Sus scrofa: one gene and its partner. Each later gene encodes a partner of the first gene's protein in a complex. Links are inferred from orthologs where the notes say so. Each region holds a gene or a part of one and is shown on either strand. Other genes may lie near its edges. The genes, in order: ASF1B and histone H3.2.

What was found.
Region 2: the proteins of ASF1B (region 1) and histone H3.2 are in contact, whole or in part, in a crystal structure (PDB 5BO0), measured with the Homo sapiens proteins. The link is inferred for Sus scrofa from reciprocal best matches to the Homo sapiens genes ASF1B and H3C15. Residues at the interface, in NP_060624.1 of Homo sapiens: Val45, Ala48, Ser50, Glu51, Asp54, Thr87, Asp88, Val90, Val92, Thr93, Val94, Leu96, Arg108, Gly110, Tyr111, Tyr112, Asn114, Glu116, Leu140, Asn143, Arg145, Thr147, Phe149; in NP_001005464.1 of Homo sapiens: Asp107, Leu110, Cys111, His114, Ala115, Lys116, Lys123, Gln126, Leu127, Ala128, Arg130, Ile131, Arg132, Gly133, Glu134, Arg135.

The regions. Positions count from the first base shown.
Region 1 is NC_010444.4:65,066,123-65,069,938, reverse strand, and holds part of ASF1B (histone chaperone ASF1B), read right to left. Parts: intron 1,498-3,816; coding exon 1,382-1,497; intron 1-1,381. UniProt on the Homo sapiens protein: Histone chaperone that facilitates histone deposition and histone exchange and removal during nucleosome assembly and disassembly. Cooperates with chromatin assembly factor 1 (CAF-1) to promote replication-dependent chromatin assembly.
Region 2 is NC_010446.5:99,197,650-99,200,195, reverse strand, and holds histone H3.2, read right to left. Parts: upstream 954-2,546; coding exon 543-953; downstream 1-542. Other genes in the region: histone H2A type 2-A-like, read right to left, coding at 2,143-2,546. UniProt on the Homo sapiens protein: Core component of nucleosome. Nucleosomes wrap and compact DNA into chromatin, limiting DNA accessibility to the cellular machineries which require DNA as a template.

The DNA of each region.
Region 1 (3,816 bases):
GGACAGCAGAACATTATACCAAGTGCAGGGCCCAGTGTAACTGCATGAATCACATGCCTAGGAAGCCAGCCCTGGTTGTCAGGTAGGGAAGTTGGGGCTGGCTGGTGGACCGGATATAGGTGGGTGAGGAGTTAGGTGATGGGATGAGGCTGCTTAGACTGGGGTGGGAATAGCCAAGATCAGGTAAGTGAATAGATTTGAGCAGAGGCTCTCAAACTTCAGCGTGTCTAAGAATCAAACTATATCTGCATTTCTGACAACCCCTGTGATGGTGGATTAGAGAGCCATTTAGCAACTACGGTGGGTCCTCATTATTCATGGATTCCACATTTATAAATTCAGCTATTCGCTAAAATTTACATGTAGCCCTGAAATCAATATTCTGGGGCTTTTATGGTCATTCAAGGACATGCACAGAGCAGGAGTGGGATTTGAGTAGCTCTATGCACATGTTCCCAGCTGAGGTAGATCAAGGCAGTCTCAGGCTGTGGACATGTGTCTTTTTCACTATGGTCTTAGGGCCACAGGTTCTGCATTTTTCTTGGTAATTTTGCTATTTAAAAGGGTTCTTGGGAGTGGGGGGATGGACTGGGGGTTTGAGATTGGCATATGCACACTGAGGCATATGGAATGACTGGCCAATGGAGACCGGCTATGGAGCACAGAGAACTGTACCCAATATTCAGTGACAATCTATGTGGGAAAAGAATCTGAAAGAGAATGTATGTATGTATATGCATAATTGAATCACTTTGTTGTACAGCAGAAATTATTATGACCTTGTAAATCAACTATATGTCAATAAAACTTTAAAAAAAGAAAAAAGAAGGGAAAAAGAAAAAGGGCCCCAAAGTCATACTGAGTCCCTAAAAGTGAGAGGGCTGGCTCTTTGTACGTTATGGAGAAAAATATGTGTGTTAGATAAGCTTTGTTCAGGCATGAGTTACAGTGCTGTGGGCTATGAATGCAATGTGAGTAAGTCAACAATAATACAAAACAAGGTGTCTTTAAATGGAAAAATGCATAAAACAATATTATAAATATTAACTGGTTGACAAAAAAGTGACTTGCAGGAACAGTCCTGCATTTCCTCTAAGGGCAATGGTTCAGCATTCACTAATTCACTAACTCAGCGTTCACAGTAACTTTACAGAACGTAACTCCCATGAGTAATGAGAATCAATTATAAATCAGGGTTTCATGGTAACATACAACATAAAGGTGGAGAAGGAGGTGTTTGAAGTACCTCTGAGAGGTCAGACAGTCCTTGAGAGCAGAGCCAGGATGTGAACCTGAACTTTGACTGATGAACCATTTTGTGTGCATTTGGGTAGATGGAGGTGTTTCAAGGTGTCAAGGCCTAAGGCCTGGTCTTTCTTACCTGAAAGACAAACATGTGTCTCCCTGCTGGGACAGGGCCGACCAGTACCGAGTCTAGGATTTGATCAAACTCCTCACTCTCAGCTGAGCCAACGTAAATGATCTTCCACTCCAGGTCTGCAAGGACACGGGGTGTTAAGTAATTGAAATAGCTTAGGCAGCAAGAAGGTTGTGCAAGGGTCTTCCTGTGTTATTTTTGGATAGGTCCTTAATATATTGATAGATTTTTATTCTCAAGAACATTTGACATCCACTAGGCAATAAGTGACAGGCACTATGATCCTGAACACTAGGGCAAGTGGGAAGCTCTGTTTTCAGTGGTGAAATTTTTTCTGTGGACCTAGCTTTGCCAGGAGACCTTGACTCTGTACCTCCCAGGAAACTCGGGCCTCTTAGAGCCTGAGGGTGAACCGTATGGCAGAGGTTGAATTAAGAGCCACGTGATGGAGCCTCAGAGGCATGGTGAGGAGGGAATAGCAGGGAGTTGGGCCATTTTAGGGCCCTGCCCACTGGGTGCTGGGATAGGAAGCAGCATCCTCTTTCACACACAGGGACTGGTGCCACCAAACTGAGTAGATCCCTCGACAACTGGGGCAGGGCAGCAGATTGCAATCCAGGAGAGCCAGCCGGCAGGAAGGGAAGATGAGGTCGCTGGGGGAGCCAGCCAGTCCCCAGGTCCTCCAGATCCAGTACCAAGTCATGCCTGCTCTCAGACATTCAGGCAACAGCAACTCAGTCAACACATGTGGCATCCTAAGGTGATCCTTGCAACACAACCCTCTTGATCCCATCCAGTAGGGGGGACCCCCATGCCTGGGGATGTTCCGGAAAGATACAAGGAAAAGTGCTCAGTGAGACCCTGCCCATCAATCACGGGAAATTCCCAGTGACCGCAGTGGCCTCTTGCAGGAGGTCCAAGTGTATCAGGGGCAAGGTCACGCTAGTACAGGGAAATTTGGCAGGAGACCTGAAACTTATTTTAGGTTCTTTGAAATTACACAATCTACAGCCCCAGCAGCTGGGGGAGATTTCACAAGCTGTGATTTTCACAGGAAGTGAACTGTCTTAGAAGCTGCCCTGTTCCTTGGTCTAATGTCCCACAAGAGCATCCAATTTTGAAAGCACAGCAATGGTGGGTTACAACTACAGAAGTTTGTCACCTGAGCTCCATGATCTTCCTTGATACACTAGATTCCTGCCCCTCTGCAGTTTACACCCTGGGCTTCTCCTACCAGACTCTACCAGGTCTATAGGATATGGTGGCCATTGGGCTCACTGGGGTTCAGTCAAACTCCAGTCTCTTATTATCTGCAGGGAGGAGCTAAGTTTATTGATTTTTGTGATAAGTAGTGACACAATTAGAAATAACATGTTTTTGGATGAACAGCAAACAAGCTAGCTCTGCTCTCATCTTTGATTTTTTTAGGGCTGTGCCCACAGCATATGGAGGTTCCCAGGCTAGGGGTCCAGTTGGAGCTGAAGCTGCTGGCCTGCGCCACAGCCATAGCAACGTGGGATCTGAGCCTCATCTGAGAACTATACCACAGCTCACGGCAACGCCAGATCCTTAACCCATTGAGTGAGGCCTGGGATCGAACCCTCATCCTCATGGATACTAGTAAGGTTCGTTAACAACTGAGCCATGACAGGAACTCCTGTTCTCACCTTTCTAAAGCAGCTCTATCATTTGGTATTTTTCCTTCTGGCCTTTTCCCCATCACCACTGGAGTGACATATGGGTGTATTTAACTAATGTGCTAGGGGGAGACAAAAAAAAAAAAAAAAAAAAGAAAAAAGAAAAAGAGATTACAATAGAGCAGGCCCTGGCACTACAGGCAAAACCTAAACAAAGACCGTGTAGGTGCTGATTGGAAGAGAAGAATCACAAGACCGGAAGAGAGAAACCAAGCAGCCAGGCAAATGGGTCATAGTGACTCCCTCTGCACAGGCCAGAAAGAAACCAGAGAACTAACCAGGACTACAACAGCGAAATACTTACTCAAGAGTTAGAAGATCTGATAAAATCATCTGTGGAGGATAGAAGATGATCAAAATGAGGATCTACAAATTGGAATTGCCTTAAACTTGCCTAAGTTTTTTAAGCAGAAGTATGCTTAAAAGTGACTTTATTTTTGTTAGATATGGGGTGTCAGTAATCAACACAGCAAAAACTCATTCCTACTGAATACAGGACATGTTTGCATACAGGTAACACTGTGTACTTAACCTTCTGAGAAATTTTAAGGGTAAACTGACTACATTACATTTTGTCTTTATGCCTTAACTTTATAATCTAACCACTGCACAAGATGGTCCTCCCTTATGTATGAAAGCAAACCCCAAACCAATGATGATGAAAGACATGTAAAAACAAAATTACTGTAGTTCAACTAGCTGGAGAATCTGTTCCGTGATTTTAAAAACAACTTATTGGAG
Region 2 (2,546 bases), on another chromosome or scaffold:
AGAAACGCACCGGGTTGGCGTGGGTGTGGGGGGAGTGACGACGCACCCATACTCGCGCGGCTCCCAGCTGCGTAAAAGGCCAGGCCCCTGCGCGCCCTGGAGCGCGAATCCTGAGCGTCCCCTAGTGACCCCGCCCGGCCTCAACCCGTCCTCCCCGCCCCCCCCGCCCCTCCCTGGAACAGACTACGGTTCTGGGCCGCCGTGGAGACGCCTTGCCCTTTGAGGAGGACCCATGGCCGCGCCCAAGAAAGCGGAGAAGCCAGCTGACCAAACTCTTGAAGGACTCAAAAGCTTCTAACGCGCCAGGAGGCGGCCAGCAAGCAGGGGGCTAGACCGGACACCTGGCCTCTAACCCACTTGGGTACCCGGAGCCCAGTCAGTGCTTCTGCCGGCTCGAACATCCTCCCTTCCCCGAGCTATGGGAGAGTCCGCCGGACAGAGCGCGGAAAAGTGGCACAGCCTCTTCCAAGTGCGGTTGTGGGTGGCTCTGAAAAGAGCCTTTGGATGTGATGGAACCTCGAGCCGAGTGCGCACTTCTTTCTCTAAGCCCGCTCCCCGCGGATGCGGCGGGCCAGCTGGATGTCTTTGGGCATGATGGTCACGCGCTTGGCGTGGATGGCACACAGGTTCGTGTCTTCAAACAGCCCCACCAGGTAGGCCTCGCTCGCCTCCTGCAGCGCCATCACGGCCGAGCTCTGGAAGCGCAGGTCCGTCTTGAAGTCCTGCGCGATCTCGCGCACCAGGCGCTGGAAGGGCAGCTTGCGGATCAGCAGCTCGGTCGACTTCTGGTAGCGCCGGATCTCCCGCAGGGCCACGGTGCCCGGCCGGTAGCGGTGGGGCTTCTTCACGCCGCCGGTGGCCGGCGCGCTCTTGCGGGCCGCCTTGGTGGCCAGCTGCTTCCGCGGGGCCTTGCCCCCGGTCGATTTGCGGGCAGTCTGCTTAGTACGGGCCATGGCGGCGAGCCAAAACACGAGCTTACCAGCGCAGCGAAGGGAGAGTAACCAGGGGGACGCCCGCCGCAGCAGTCTTTATAGGCACAGGCTTGTCCCGATTGGGCGGGACAATAATTGAAAGTCCCGCGCTGGCTCTCTATTGGCTGTGACCTCACCAGCCCTAGCGCCACTGATTGGCTTGGGCAGAATCCTCCTCCGCCCGCCCCCCACCCTCCCTCCCTCCCTCCCTTTCTACTTTCCAGTTTGCCAGCAGTTTTCCCGGCCTCGTCTTTCCTTTCTTCCCGGCGAGAGTCATTTTTGAGCGCGACTGTGTCAGAACGTTCCTCTTCAGCCCTTCGCTCCCTTAGAACACGCTACCCCCGATGCCCGCCTCCTTTCCACGCTTTTTACCTCCCGGACCGAACCCCCGCCCCCTGAACGCCTTGTTACCTTGTCAGAACCCCCTAGGTTAGCTGCTAGTCTGGCCGATCTTCCCCCCCCCGCCCCCCGGCCCTTTGGTGCTTTTCGGATCGGAAGGTTATCTGCGCCCTCTCCGGGAGCAAGACTCCACTTCCGAGAGCCTCAGGACCTGTTATCCCCATCCCCGCCGCGAAGGCGCCTCCTCACTCCCCCCACTCCCCTTCCAAAGACGGTGGGCTCAAGCCAAAACCCACGTCCGCTACGCTCCCGAAAACCGTCTTTATCCCCTAACCGACTGGGGTGTACGGGGCGTGCGCGTGTGCGAGGGAACGTCCCCTTGGTGCTAGACCTCAGGTGTTGGGCAGAGGCTTGGGAAGTAACTGCAGTTGCTCACCGGGCATCCGACTTCGAGATAGAGCGTCGCGGCCGCCTGGTACTGCTTACTTTCAGCAGCCGAGTCGACCCTGGCTCGCCCAAGCAAGGTTTGCTACCTCTACCTGCGTTAATTAGATCCTAGGATTTGCCACACTCCCACCCGCACCCGCTTCCCAGCAAAATAACGGCTAAAGCACCTAGTTCCAGAGGCGAGTGAGGAACGGCAGGGAGTAGAGGGCAAACGGCACTCCCTCCGCCCACCTCCGTGCTTACTACCAAGGGTGGAGTTAAGGAGAAAGCTGGCTAGTGTAACAACTCTTTTTTTTATTTGAAAGAGTGGGTGGCTCTGAAAAGAGCCTTTGATTTCACAGGTGCCCCTTCCGGACGGGGCTGGGTGGGCTTCCGGATGCCGGCCTCACTTGCCCTTTGCCTTGTGGTGGCTCTCCGTCTTCTTGGGGAGCAACACGGCCTGGATGTTGGGCAAGACGCCGCCCTGGGCGATGGTGACTTTGCCCAACAGCTTGTTCAGCTCCTCGTCGTTGCGGATAGCCAGCTGCAAGTGGCGGGGGATGATGCGCGTCTTCTTGTTGTCTCGCGCCGCGTTGCCCGCCAGCTCCAGGATTTCCGCGGTCAGGTACTCCAGCACCGCCGCCATGTAGACGGGCGCGCCGGCCCCCACCCGCTCGGCATAGTTGCCTTTGCGCAGCAAGCGGTGCACCCGCCCTACGGGGAACTGCAGACCTGCGCGGGACGAACGGGACTTGGCCTTTGCGCGGGCCTTGCCTCCCTGTTTGCCACGACCAGACATGACAACGACAC